2 linked regions of the Elephas maximus indicus genome follow. The protein of the gene in region 2 interacts with the protein of the main gene of each other region in a pairwise test. Links are inferred from orthologs where the notes say so. Each region holds a gene or a part of one and is shown on either strand. Other genes may lie near its edges.

Region 1 (7,769 bases), on a different chromosome or scaffold from region 2:
CTTAACCACTGCGCCAACAAACCAATATTGATAAGTTATTATTAACTCAAGTCCATACTTTATTCAGATTTCCTCAAACTTTCACTTCATATTCTTTTTGTCCTAGGATCCTATTCAGGATCCACATCAAATTTAGTTTCACGTCTCCTTAGGCTCCTCTTGGCTGTGAGTTTCTCAGACTTTCCTTGTTTTTGATGACCTTGACAGTTTTGAGGAGCCCCAGTGTTGCAGTGATTGTACTGCTCAGCTGCTAACCAAAAAGGTCAGTGTTTCGAATCTACCTGCTACTTCACAGAAGAAAGCTGTGACAGTCAGCTTCTGTAAAGATTTACATCCTTGGAAACCCTATGGGGCAGTTCTACTTCGTCCTACAGGGTTGCTATGAGTCGGAATTGACTGGAAGGCAACAGTAATTGTGACAAATGGGTTTGGTTTTTGGCTTGACAAATTTTGAGGACCACCATGAATTCATTTTTACAGCTCCCTTTCCAAGAAACCTCCTCACTTTTGCCTACAGTTTACCAATCCTTCTATGAAGACTATAAACTCTTTGCCCATAATTGCAGTTCTGCATTTTGTAACTTGCACCCTGGGACCCTGGAGTGGGGAGGTCTCCAAAAACCTGTAAAGGAGTCTTTGAGTTCAAAATTATTTTCATAATAATACTAAGACATTATCTGCCTTTTCCACTCTTATTCTCTCAAGAGAATAGAATGGAGTTTTCCAGAGACTTCATACCATGTGATGACATCATCGCTCTGATGATGAATAGAATGTATGTTTATATATTCTTGTGTTTTCTAAAAATTTCTAAGGTAGTAGGTTTAGGATACAAATGTGTACATTTTTGGAGATTAACTCAGTTTGTTCTCAGTCCTTCTACCATGCTCTCACTACCCATTTTAAATTATACCTGCTATAATCTACATATCTGTGTAGATGGATTTTCTTCATACTGCAACCAGACAAGAAACAGGTGTCTCCTATTAAACCCACTGCTGTCAAGTCATTCTGACTCATAGCAACCCTACAGGACAGAGCAGGACTACCCCAGGGGGTTTCCAAGGAGCAGCTGGTGGATTTGAACTGTCAACCTTTTGGTTAGCAGCCGTAGCTCTTAACAACTTCACCACCAGGGTTTCGTCTTCTATTAAGCCAGAGGTTAAGGAGATTTGCAAAAATGTAAAACAATACTACTCTCTTCACTGATTTTTGTTTGTTTTGGAAAATAAACTTTTTTCCATAAAAATGTTTATGTTAGCATATAATGACTTTAATATGGCAAATATATTTTAAATTTCTCAGTTTTAATTTTTAACAATAAATATCAATAGATTAATAGACGTAACCTTCATACACAAAAGTGCTCCTCAATAATTTTTAAGCATATAGAGGTTCCAAGCCCAAAATATTTGTGCATCACTGACCTATAACATTTTTTCCATTTTTTCAAAATCCTTCTCAAATCTCCAGCTCCTCCATGAAGGCTTCTCTAGTCACTGCTGTCTTCCATGAGGTCAAAGAATAAAGGATTAAGTGGTACTTGTGGTCTCTAACTGTTTTGCCTGTCAAAATGTTTTTTGACATCAATATACCCGGGGTCATTTTTGACTGAATGACTAAAATGGAAATTTAAGGCTCTGATGGTGTGAATTAGATTGGGATATTACTGATAATATTTTATTAGTAAATTAGTTTTGTAAGTGAAATTTGCTGAGGTTAGAATGTATTCTGAGCAGAGCTGGTCTCATGTGGCATCTTTCCCAGCTTTCATAGATGTTTAAAGGAATTTAACGTGAAGACTATGTTTTTCCTAGTATCAGTAATGTCTACTGATCTTGACTTTTTAAATAGGATCTTAGAAGAAAATACACGCAAAATCACAGGTAAACAAATTTGCCAGTGGGTTACCTTATATTCTCCCTACAGTTTTAAGACAAGTTTAATAAAATTAATTTTCTTTCACTTATTCGCTAATCATTTTCCCATTTTCTGTTAAGATGTAGGCTGAAGATCCAACAAGATTAACAGGTGACCCTTTAAAAGGAACAAAGGTTGTGTTAACATATAAAGAACAATTATGAAGCTAAAAAAATATAATTCCTTCACAAACTTAAGTAACACTTTATTAAAGTGCCCTTGCTCTCACACAAACTCAGTAAAGCGGCAGAGGAGTCTTTTCATCCTTCTAAAAAGTATCGTGAAAAAAGAGGAGCCTGAAATCAATTGCGAAACAAACGTTTTTAAGTTTGCCATTACGGGAGAAAGTTTAAACATTAAATCACAGGCAGGTAATGTGAATTCAGAACCGTTCTGAGTTATTAGCGACAGGAGAGGGAGGGTGTGCCTGGTTTTATCTTTCACTACTTCAAAAACAAGAAAATATCGAACTAGGATAACCATACTTGTCAACTTAAGGCAACAACTTCCTAAACCAACTTTCTGTGTACCGCTGGGTTTGACTCACTTGGCCCGTGAAAAACAAGGTCAGGCCTGTTTTCCCTCTAACATAAACATCTGTAAGCGCGTCCTACTCCATATGTTTTACAGAGATTCAGAAAGCAAGGTGTAGAACCGAAAGAGATCGAAAACGTCCCGAGTGGCCTTTGGAGCGGTAGAGGCCCTGCCCCACTCTGCCCAGCCGCCCGCAGCAGCCCTGCGGCCGGCTCGCCACTTTCCGTGATGGCCAGGGTCCCGCCCTGGAACCTTCCCAGACGCTCAAGGAGCCGCCTTCGCGCCCGCTGGCCCCTCCAGGCCTTCAGAGAAAGAAGCAGCCCGGGTGACAGGTAGGTCAGGCCCGGCCGCCACTCACCGCTGCCGGCCGGGGTTCAGGAGACGCCACTCCAACTAAATCCATGTGGGGGAAGAAGCCAGCGACAAGAACAGGGTAGAGTCGGGGCAGGACCGGGAAGCGGGCTCCGCCGAAGGGGAGACAGGCAAAGGGTAAGGGGGGAAAGGCAGCTGGTGCCGGAGCGGAGGTGACAGATGGCGCCGACGGCGGCCGCGTCCGGAACTAACCTCTTCTCTTCCGCCCTCACGGTTGGGGCAATCACTTCCGATTGGCCGCCCGGCCCTCGCTAAGTCACCTTTCCCCGCCCCCGGGCGGGCTGCACTTCCGGCCGCTGGCCGTTGGGATTCCGAGTGCAAGGTCCAGGTGGCCAGGCTTGGAGTCGTGGTCGCTGGTGCAGGGCAGGGCAGGGGCCGGGTGTGACGTCCCTTGTCCAAGGACCTTCCTTATCTCCGCACCGCCTTCCTCATTCTTCCTCCCCAACAGCCCTTAGCACTGGATCTAGTCAAACTAGGCTAGACTGTGTGGATTATAAAGAAACGAGGCTTTGTTCATTCATTCTTTCCCCAGTGAAATCTAAACTGAGAAGGTAACAGACGGAAAATAGCAAGTTCAGAGAAAGGAAAGACACTGAAAAAGACAGTCGGTTTTTGTTGCTATTGCAGTTGTTTGGGGGCGGGGCGGTGAGCGTGAAAATTTGTAAAACAACATTGAGCAAAAATCAGTCTGTATAGTAAAAGTTTTGGTTCAGTATTTTGTAGGGAGATTCTTAAAAAGTGACTGTGTAAAAATAACTAAGCCTTACATTTCACTTACTGTGTTTCAGGCATTGTTCAAATTAACTCGTTTAATCCTGAGAATAACCCTAAGGAACAAGTTCTATCATTATCGTCATTTTACTCATGATGAAACTGAAGCACAGAGAGGTAAAGTAACTTGCCCAAGGTCATCCAGCTAATAAATGACAAAGCTAGTAAGTGTCGAACGAACACACGCATTCCGGCTCCAAGCACTGGTGAGACAGGCAGCCTCAGAATCCAACCCTTCTGAGAGACACCTGCTCTGGCTTATCCTCTTACATGGAGCAAAATGGGCTCCACATTCTTCTGAAATCGACCTTGACAAGATAACCATAGATGGCCTCAACCTACCTCTGGGTGGAGACTTAATATCATAATAAAGAAAAATCAACCTCTTCCTCCAGCGTGGAGAATGGAACCCTTGACTAAAGAAAATGCATAGTCATCCCCAAGCCCTGAGTGCCTGCATAAATGTCAATCCTGAATATTCATGATAAATTTATATTTCCTTGTCTGCTCTCTGATAAAGCCCACCTCCCCAACTTGCCTCTGAGCAGTATTGGAGGTAACAACCCCAATTGCTCCTTTCCTTGTACAATGAAATAAAGGCATCTTTCTAATCTCCCACCTCGGCCTCTTGTTTATTGGCTGTAACAAGCCACACCAAGCAAAACCTGGGGTTTTCACCTGTCAACACTGGCTCTGTAGTGCCTGTATGCAAACCATCCAGACTATTAAAACAAAAAGTCATATTAAGCCAATAATAGAAATTGATTGAAGTTTATTTAATATACGATTTGCAAATCAGGGTAACATTTTGACTAGAGAATCAAAAATGTTCCGAAGATGAGAGAACCTCGAAACACTCTTATATCAAATCTTAACAATATCCCTGTAGAAAAAAAGGGTCAGAACAGAACTGATAAACAAATTTTTGGTCAGTAAGGGTTTTCATACAGCATTGTTTTCAAGAATGTGTAGAAGCCCCCAACAGAGGCACTTGACCCCAGTAAAATGGCTAGTCTGGGTCTGAACTCCATATCAATGCTTGCTAACTTCTCTTCATTCAGTGACCTTTGTACAGACTTAAAAAAGCCTGTAACTAAGAAACATTTTCCTTCTTTGTGGTTAAGCCAGGGATAAGGGAAGAGTATTCCTGCAAGAGTCCTGATGTCCTTAAGCTGATCAGACGTGTCCAGAGCTGACTACCCACAAGAAATATATTGTTCCCCTACCTATTTTTTAAACCAAATGTCCTTGGGAAGAAATACTTTATAATCATCTTGCGGCCATCTATACACCCCTATATTTACTACTGCAATTATCCTGTGTAACCAACCACCTCAGGTTCCCAGCTTCGGGATATCCTGCCTCTGACTACCTTACCTCAGCAAGCACCAATCATAGATTTTGCACCATTATTTCCTGATTATACCACATATATTTACCCTTTTTCCCCTCCCCTTCTTGGGAGTATTTATTTCACTTTGTGAGATCATAGGTTTCCCCAGTTTGTACTGTTTTCAAATCTTCCATAAATCTCCTTGCTTTCACTTCAATAGAGTATGTGTTCGTTATTTTTGGACAAGAACAATTAAAATAATTACTGATTTACCCTAAACATAGCTCCCATTCTGACTCTTGGAGTCTGTTTCCAGAAACTGATTGAATTCTTCAAAAGAGCACAATGCCTACAACAAAACTATCTTATTAGTTTACCTAGACCATTGTTTGACTCATAAGGCAACCCCCAGGAACCAGTTTCTCCAAGGCCCAAGCTTCAAAAGGACACCCAAGGGCAAATGGCCTAGGTGGGTCACCCCAACTGCATGGACCCAAAAATCTGGATTCCAGGAAAGTTAAAACAGTTTCACAAGACGTTCTAGAAATGCACACTGAATAACACCGTTTTCCCTAAATGGCAGTCCTGAGCCAGGATCCCTAACTGTCCATACTTGAGATTCCTGGGATAATGACCTTGGTTTCCATTAGCACACGGTCCTTATCCTCTTTCCATCCCAGGTCAGAACATGTTCTGAATCCTCTAAATAATCCAAACTAAAATCAGGCAAAACTATAAACTATATATGGGATAAAGACCTGTGCTTGACAAATGTCCATACTGCAGATATGTGTGGAAATCGTGTTCCCCCTTAGTATTCAAATGATAAATTATTGAGATACATGTGACCCTAATACTTTGCAACATGTTTTCTCCTATTCAAAATGGGCGATTGAGAGCTAGACATAACTAACACCATAATGATGCTCTAAGTAATTTCTAAACATTTTTTATTGCACCAGCAGCGCTGGTCTCTTCCAAAGGGGTGAGGAGCTCTCTCCGCTCTTGGGGCCTTGGTCTCTCTCCTCTTCTTTGTTCTCTTGAGAAACAGCCTTCTGCCTGTAAGACAGCAGCAAGGAAGGCTGCCTGGGGCTTTTGATCTGCAACTTTCTTTCTTGTACCTCATCTAGTCAGAGTGGACTTGGCCAGTTCCACTAGCCGAGAGATTCTTATGCAAGTTTTTCCAGCCTGTTACAAACATACAGATTAGAGTCCACATGTCCAACATGCATATCTTTAGTTTAATGAAGAGTTTTTTGTAGTTGTTTTGTGCTGTATATGACCATCTGTGGGCTATGTGCTTAAAAACATTAAGTAATCCTTGCCAAAATAATATATAAGCTCTAAATTGCTCTTCAGGACTCCATGGAGACTGCCGGGTCCCCGATCACGTATACATCTCCTGAATAAACTTTCTCACTCTTTCTGACTTGGAGCACATTTCATTGGCTCAACTGCTCTGGGGCACGGAACCCAATGGGGTAACATACGTATGTAGTTGAAGAAAAATGGGTAGAACCAGAAATTAAATGGACCTCATGACTTTAGATAAAAGGAGATAAGACGAGAGGATGACCTAGACAAGTTATTGGAACCTTCTAATAAATTAGCCAAGAGTTTCAAAAGAAAAAATAAAAAAGGAAGCGAGTAGGTCAGAAGGAAAGGCTTAGTTACAGTGTGTGACAAGAATGTGCGACTGAGGGATCAGAAGTTGAAAGTAGAAGGATCTGGATATTCTTTTTAGATCATTTATTCAATGAATTTTTACTGAGTGTTTTCTAAAATGACTAGCATTGGGGTGACAAATCTGAATAAAAACAGGTACCTGTCCTCGTGGACCTTGAAGTCGTAAACATGCAAGTAGTAATTAAGTGCTAAAGATACTATCATAGAAGCATGTGCAGGACCCAGTAGAATGTAAGGTAGGGAGACATCAGCTCTACCAAATTTTCGGGAAAGGCTCATTAGAGTAGGAGACACTTGAGCTGAGTCTTGCAAAGTGATCAGGAATCAGACAGGTTGTAAGGGAAGTGGGGGCTTCCACCAGAGGGCGGCTGTATACGTACAGCATGTATTGGAAAAGGGCAAGTGGTTTGGCATGGCCAGACCTAGGGTTCAACAGGGGAGCAAAATACAAGATTGGGTTGCAGAATGTAGGCAAGCCCAGGACCAAGGACTCCAGAGTTTAGACCATAAGGAGTCATTAAACGAGGACAATCGTATCTTCAGATTTGCTTATTAGAAAGAGAATTCTGACAGCTGTGAAGGGTAGACTGGAGAGTTGTGAGGCTGGAGACTGGAAAACCTCTCTGTTCACTGAGGATGAGAGTCACCTGGACATCTGTTGTTCATGGGCACATCTTTAAATGTGTTAATACCTTCAGTCTAATTTCAGGTCTCAGAAACTTTTTTTTTTTTCTTTAAGGCGACTTCGAATATTCCAATGTTGCTTTCATTTCTCTTCCAAAATTTTGTTTTTGTGTTTTGGTTTCTGGTGTTGGACAGTGCTGGGTGTGGGCAGGGTGGCATGGGAGGTGAGGCATCTAAGTGGAGGTCCTGGAGTCTAAGATGACTTCTGCTTTTTTGACTTGGTTGACTGGATGAATGGTGGTGCCTGAAGCCTTGATTGGAGAGAGGATAATAAAGTTAATTTTGGACATGCTACATTTTTCTATATAGCACTTATCAAAATTTGTAAATACACATTTATTTGCCCTTTTTTTCTTTGTTGTCCATGAGAGCAGGGACCATGTTTATTTTGTTCACAGCATGGTGTTGGCATATAATAAGCACTCAATAAATATTTGTGAATGAACAAACTGAATGAAGGCTGTTAAAA
Region 2 (7,773 bases):
AGGAGGAAAGGGTCTTCCTCACTCAGCTGCTCCTCTGCCAGGAGCTGCTCAAAAATCTCCAAGGCTGAGCCGGACTTCTCCAGCTTCTTGGGGGAGAGCCAGTCTCGGCAGAGAAACTTTAGGGCCTCCACATCTTTGGCCCCCAGGCATTCATTAATCTTCAGAAGCTTCCGGCGAAAATCCATCCTACGATTTTCCTCCAAACTGGTATCCAGACCTTGACCTTGAGATGTCATAGCCAGCTTGGGAAAGACAGAACTGGAGCAAGGAGTTCTAGAGTGAGGACACACGGCACCCCAACTCCCTAGCCCCTCCTCCAATCCTGGCTACCTCTGTTCCTGGCATTAGACTTTACTGGAAGTGCTAAAAAAGAAAAAAAGAAATTCCTGCAAGGTTACTTAAAATACCAACAGCCTAGAAAATTCCACCCCAACACAATTGGTATGTTACTCTTCAGGAGGTGGGGAGGGAGTTTTTATCAGAATTCAATTTACCCTGATTTCTCCCAAATAAAATGTCCCCTGTGGTACTAGTCAAGAAGGAAGAGGACAGAGTCTGATATCGCTGAGGCCTGGTAGTCCGGCTGGAGCTCACAGGCCCAAATTCATTTCTGCCTAATAGCAGGAATAATGTTTGGATTTATGTTTTAAATTTTAGAAATAAGGCAACATGGAGGTTTATTCTTCTGAAGCATCAACCAACCCGAAGATAATGAGGGACCCTGAGGGCTATTCGTTACATCTTTAACTTTAAATGGCTAACCATGAGCAGGTCTTTATGTCACAGACACAGAAGCCATAATTGCAGACCCCAAAAGGAAAGGGTAGTTTTAGACAAAGTTGCTCAGATCAGTGCAGGAAGTTACAAATTACCCATCAGTGTTTCCACCTGACCCGTTAATAAACTATGGTCTTCCCTAAAAAAAAAAAAAAATTCATTAAAAAAAAATTTTTTTTATTTTTGTTATTGTGGAGAATATACACAGCAAAACATGCAATTTCTACATGTGCCAATTCAATAGTGCCAATCCAACAGTTTCTACATGTACAATTGTAAAATGGTGGAGTCACACCTTCTCTTCTAACTTGGGGGGAGGGACGGGAAGAATCAAGACCAGCACCATCAGCCCAAAGCTTGATTCCTGTGAGGTACAGGTGGGACATACTTCACCTTCCAACCCTTGTTATCAACTCTGACACCAGCCGTCCCTCCCACTCCCACGACACTCTTTTCTTCTTGCCTGCATTTGATAATTTGTTGCAAAGGCCACACAGAACTCACAGACCATACTCACAATTATGGACTTTATCAGGGAAGTAGCAAGTTACAATTGAAGATCGGTAAATTTTTTTTTTTAATAATATTTTATTGTGTATTAGGTGAAAGTTTACACAGCAAATTCGGTTCCCCTTTAATAAGTTTTATGCAAATTATTCCATGTCATTGGTTACAATTTTTAGAATGTGTCGGCATTCTCATTATCTCCATTTTGTTTGTACTGCTACCATCTATCTAGCTTCCCTTTCCCTCCTTGCCTTCTCGTCTTTGCTTTTGGGTATCTACACTAAATTTTGTTCTAATTAGAGGAACAATGCATCGATAAAACTTTTCACTGTAATGTTATTCATTCCATAAGGCCTTGAGGTATATATTCACTGTGCATGACTTGGCTGTTTTTAGAAACAGGAAATTACTTTCGAAAGGAAGAACATGGCAGAAACAAAACATCGATAGCAAGAATAGCTAGGTGGTTAAAAAAAAAAACCTAGGTGGTTTAACTACAAACAAAAACCGAACCAAACCCATTCCGGTGAAGTTGACTCTGACTCACAGCAACCCTGTAGGACAGAGTAAAACTACCCCATAGGGTTTCCAAGGCTGTAAATCTTTACAGAAGCAGGCTGCCACATCTTTCTCCCCTGGAGCAGCTGATGAGTTCAAACCGCCCACCTTTCAGCAGCTGAGCACTTAACCACTGTACCACCAGGGCTCCTCCTTGGTATAACTGTCCAAAAACCAAACCAAACCCACTGCCATCCAGTCGATTCCAACTCATAGTGACCCTATAGGACAGAGTACAGCTGTTCCACAGGGTTTCCAAGAATGGCCGGTGGATTCAAGCCGCCGACATTTTGGTTAGCAGCTGATCTCTTAACCACTGCACCACCAGGGCTCCAGTATAAATATTAAAAAAAAAATAAAATAAAAAATAAAAAAAAATTTTTTTTAACATAAATTTTCTTCTTGGCTTCCACTCAAATTTTGTGCAATGAACAGTTATTACTTTTGTTGTGGGGGGGGAGCTATTTTTTGTGGGATTATCATGGGTTCTTCCCTTCAAGTATCCCTGAGGTCAAATGATTGGTTTCTTGCAGACATTTTCCTATTCTAATAAGTAGTACATTGTATTTTCCTGAAGATTCTGACCCTTAGCTTTACTGAGTTGGCCAAACTTTGTGGACTAGCATATTCCTGACAATAAAAAGCTGTGTTGGAGCCCCCCTGTTTTTTTTCTTTTTTTACTTTTACTTTCTTTTTCCCTGGCACGGCAGATAAAACCAGGCAGAAACAATGCCATTGCTGGCAACTAGCTTTTGCAAGTTTCTATGACGTGAAGCAAAGGAAAAGGCTGGGGTGTGAGACCCAAGCGAGGAAAAGATATTACATACCTTTAGATCAAGTCTCACCGATCCTCTGGAGGTTGATAGCACTCAGGGAAATTGGAATTCAGGTCCTCCATGTGTTTCCAGTTTCCAGGAAGCTCCCATTTGCGCGGGAAGAGCACTCAAAACTTGTTGGCTGAGCAAGTGAAAACTGGATCCTCTGGCTTTTGTAACTTGATATTAATTTCCTGCTGATGTCATCATCTCCTGTCTGCCATTTCTCCTCCCCTTTCCTTTTTTTTTTTTTCCCAGCGTTAAGATAACCCTGACAAACAGCAGCTCCTAAAGGCAAATTCACAAGTTTCTTTCCCATGTAGAGCTCAGGATTTTCCCAGGTAAAGCAAAAATCCGTTGCCCTGGAGTCAATTCCAATGTATAGCAACCCTATAAAACAGAGTAGAACCACCCCATAGAGTCTTCTAGACTGCAATCTTTAGAGAAGCAGATTGCCACATCTTTCTCCCATAGAGCAGGTGGTGGTTTCCAACTGCCAATCTTTCAGTTAGCAGCTAGGCACTTAACTGCTGTGCCACCAGGTCTCCTTAGGTAAAGCAAAAGGCTTCCAGAAATGAACTCTTGGTAGCCACTAAGTGCTGCAGCCTTTCCTGTGAGTTCCAGCTCCCTCCTTCCTCAAACTCACTTAACCTTTAAAGTAAAACCCAAAAAGCTAATGAAATGGTAGTCATCTTAATCCTTTTTCAAGGATTAAGGATTCAAACCCAAAGTTCACGTGTAGATAAGCAAATAAAAACAATTTTTAAACAAAAAAGGGGGGTTGGTCTATAAGCCTATTTGGAGGTATTGCAAAAGGCTCAAATAATCAATTAATAGTAAACAAAACTGAAGCAGTCTGCCCTTACTGTGCATTCAGTTCAGCAGGAAAGACAGACTTTGAAGAAATTATTTCTAATAATAATTATATCACACATACTATATGCTGGGGACAAGTATTTAAAATATTTTCCCATTTAATAATCCCAACAACCCTATAAAGGTTTAATATCACTATGACCCCTGCTTTAAAATGTGGAAACTGAAGCACAGAGATGTTAGGTAATTTGCCCAAAGTCACACAGCTACCTAGTGGCACAGCCAAGATTTGAAGCAGGAAGTTTGACTTCTAAGTCCGTGCTCTTAGTCACTATACTGTAATTAAGCTAATTCAAATGTGCAGAGCTCCAGGAAGAAGTACAGAATCTTAGAAAGATGTTTTATATCTGAAAAAAGCAAGATTTATCATGCTTTTGTTAACAAACATGCTAAAGTGCATTTCTATATCCTAGGCATCCTCCCCCCACACATCTGTCAGTTTGTCATACTGTAGGGTCTTGTGTTGCTGTGTTGTGGGAAGCAATGCCACCGTTATTCAAATACAAGCAGGGTCACCCATGGTGAAGAGGTTTCAGCAGGGCTTCCAAACTAAGACTAGAAAGAAGATTCTGTCAGCCTACATATAAAAAGAATTAGCCAGTGAAAACCTTGTGAATTGCAGCAGAACAATGTCTGCTATAGTGGCAGAAGATGAGCCCCTTAGGTTGGAAGGCACTCAAAAGTCGACTGGGAAAGAGCCACCTCCTCAAGTAGAGTCGGCCTTAATGTTGTGGTTGGAATCAAGCTTTTGGAACCTTCATTTGCTGATGTGGCATGATTCAAAATGAGAAGAAATGGCTGCAAACACCCATTTAATAATCAGAACGTGGAATGCATGAAGTATGAATCTAGGAAAACTGAAAGTTGTCAAAAATGAAATGGAACACATAAACATTAATATCCTAGCCATTAGTAAGCTGCAATGGGCTGGTATTGGTCATTTTGAATTGAAAAATCATATGGTCTACTATGCCAGGGATGACAACTTGAAGAGGAATGGTGTTGCATTCATCATCAAAAAGAACGTTTCAAGATCTATTCTGAAGTACAATGCTGTTAGTGATAGGATAATATCCACACACCTATAAGGAAGACCAGTTAATATGACTATTATTCAAATTTATACACCAACTACTAAGGCCAAAGATGAAGAAATTGAAGATTTTTACGAACTTCTGGAGTCTGAAATTGATCGAATATGTAATCGGTATGCATTGATAACGACTGGGGACTGAAATACAAAAGTTGGAAACAAAGAAGAAGGATCAGTAATTGGAAAATACGGCCTTGGTGATAGAAATGATGCCAGAAATCGCATGACAGAATTTTGCAAGACCAACAACTTCTTCATTGCAAAATATCTTTTTTCACCAACATAAATGGTGACTACACATGTGGACATCGCCATATAGAATACACAGGAATAAAATCAACTACAGCTGTGGACAAAGTAGAAAAGCTCAATATCATCAGTCAGAACAAGGCCAGGGACAGACTTCAGAACAGACCATCAATTGCTCATATGCAAGTTCAAGTTGAAGTTGAAGAAAATTAGAACAAGTCCACAAAAGCCAAAGTATGACCTTGAGTACATCCCACCTGAATTTAAAGACCATCTCAAGAACAGATTTGATGCATTGAACACTAATGATCAAAGACCAAACGAGTTGTGGACTGACATCAAGGACATCATACATGAAGAAATCAAGAGGTCATTAAAAAGACAGGAAAGAAAGAAAAAAACAAAATAGATGTCAGGAGAGACTCCGAAACTTGCTCTTGAAAGTCGAGCAGCTAAAACAAATGGAAGAAATGATGAACTAAAAGAGCTGAAAAGAAGATTTCAAAGGGTGGCTCAAGAAGACAAAGTAAAGCATTATAATGACATGTGCAAAGATCCGAAGTTAGAACACCAAAAAGGAAGAACACCCTCCGCATTTCTTAAGCTGAAAGAACCGAAGAAAAAATTCAAGTCTCAAATTGTAATATTGAAGGATTCTACGGGGAAAATATTAAATGATGCAGGAAGCATCAAAAGAAGATGGAAGGAATACACAGAATCACTATATAGGGATGAATTGGTTGACATTCAACCATTTTAGGAGGTAGCATATTATCAGGAACTGATGGTACAGAAGGAAGAGATAGAAGCTGCACTGAAGGCACTGGTGAAAAACAAGGCTCCAAGCATTGACAGAATACCAAATGAGATGTTTCAACAAATCGATGCAGGGCTGAAGGTGCTCATTTGTCTATGCCTAGAAATTTGGAAGACGGCTACCTGGCCAACCAACTGGAAGACATCCATATTCATGCCTATTCCAAAAAAAGGTGATCCAACCGAATGTGGAAATTATAGAACAATATCATTAATATGGCATACAAGTAAAATTTTGCTAAAGATCATTCAAAAGTGGCTGCAGCAGTATATCGACAGGGAACTGCCAGAAATTCACACCGGATTCAGAAGAAGACGTGGAACCAGGGATATCATTGCTGATATTAGATGGATCCTGGCTGAAAGCAGAGAATACCAGAAATATGTTTACCTGTGTCTTATTGACTACGCAAAGGCATTTTGGACATCAAAGACAATTCTGGTGAGGACTCAGAAGGAAGTGAGAAGGCCTATAACAATGGGGATGGCACAGATGGTGAGAAGCAGCAGCAGAACCAGGAAATTAGCGGGAGTGGTGAGGGAGCTGATCCATAGAGCAAGAGAAATGAGTACCTTTACACAGGAGGCTTCCTGGCTGAGTGGGGTGCCTGCAGATACTTGGAGGAGTTGGCTTGCTAACCCAAGGAGCAAGAGAACTGACTTCTGGGTGAGGTTTACTGGTGAAAGGGGGGTGCCTCAGGCACTTATCAGTAGAGCTAAAGAGCTTTGGAACACTTGCCAGAGCAGGGCAGAATCTGGGCTGGCCTTAGGGGCCCAAGGGGCCAAGAGGCCAAGAAACCAGGAAGCAGAAGATGGAGTGACAAAAAGCATAGGAAGCAGAGCTCTTGTGAGACCTCTGGGGTCTCAAAGGGTTGAGTCATGCCCCTTGGGATTTCAAAGGGTGGGGCCAGGTTTCAAAGAGTCAGATCTTTACCAACTTGGTTGTAGAGTGTGGGGCTGCCTTTTGCACAGCCCAGAGCTGAGGGCGTGGGGCTGCCATGCTCAAGGGGCAGAAGAACAGGGCCTGCTGGGGGGCCAAGGGTGTGGAGTCACCACTCAGATGGACAAGGAGAATGGGGCCAACCAAATGCAAGGGAGCAGAGTTGCTGTTCCAGTGGGCCCAGAAGGCAGAGCTGAAGCCCAGGGCTGAGGGGCTTCCACCCAGGATCCAGAGATTGTGGCCAATACCCAGAGTCTGGAGAGCAGGGCCATTGCCTAAATGGCCTCAGAGAACAGAGGATTATTGAGAGCTAATGTAATGTGTTCTGCTGACTTGCTCCGTGCCTGTTACCCCTTCTTTCCCTCCAATTTCTCCCATTTGTAATGGAAATGTCTACCTTGTGCCTGTTCCACCATTGTACTTTGGAAGCAGATAACTTGTATTCTACATTGCACAGATGAAGATGAATTTTTTCCCAGGAGACTTTGGACTTGGAGTTGATTTAAGATTTTGCTATGATGTGATGGGGTGAATGTGCTTTACATGTGGTAAGGACATGAATTTTGGGGGACCAAAGAGTAGAATGTCATGGATTGGATTGTGTCCCCCAAAAATGTGTGTGAACTTGGCTAGGCCATGATTCTCAGTATTGTTTGGTTGTCTGTTTTGTGATCTGATGTGATCATCCTATATGTTGTAAATCCTGACCTCTATGATGTTAATGAGGAAAGATTAGAGGCAGTTATGTTAATGAGGCAGGACACAATCTACTGGATTTGGCTGTGTTTTGGGTCAATCTCTTTTGGGATATAAAAAAGAGAAGCAAGCAGAGAGGAGAGGGACCTCATACCACCAAGAAAGGAGTGCCAGAAGTGGAGCATGTCCTTTGTACCTGGAGTCCCTGCACTGAGAAACTCCTAGACCAGGGGAGAATAGATGACAATACCTTCCCCCAGAACCGAAAAGAGAGAGAGAAAGACCTCCCCAGGAGCTGGTGCCCTGAATTTGGATTTCCAGCCTCCTAGACTGTGAGAGAATAAATTTCTGTTTATTAAAGCCATCAGCTTGTAGTATTTCTGTTATAGCAGCACTAGATAACTAAGACATTATATATAATGTTAAGTATATATACATAACTGAAC

The links. The genes of interacting proteins can lie anywhere in the genome.
Region 1: the proteins of CASP10 (region 2) and RIOK3 interact in binary tests that used the Homo sapiens proteins (3 or more experiments, as listed by UniProt). The link is inferred for Elephas maximus indicus from reciprocal best matches to the Homo sapiens genes CASP10 and RIOK3.

The regions. Positions count from the first base shown.
Region 1 is NC_064829.1:29,626,099-29,633,867, reverse strand, and holds the start of RIOK3 (serine/threonine-protein kinase RIO3), read right to left. Parts: upstream 3,020-7,769; 5' UTR 2,858-3,019; coding exon 2,813-2,857; intron 1-2,812.
Region 2 is NC_064824.1:99,904,548-99,912,320, reverse strand, and holds the start of CASP10 (caspase-10), read right to left. Parts: upstream 3,238-7,773; 5' UTR 2,670-3,237; intron 364-2,669; 5' UTR 237-363; coding exon 1-236. UniProt on the Homo sapiens protein: Involved in the activation cascade of caspases responsible for apoptosis execution. Recruited to both Fas- and TNFR-1 receptors in a FADD dependent manner. May participate in the granzyme B apoptotic pathways.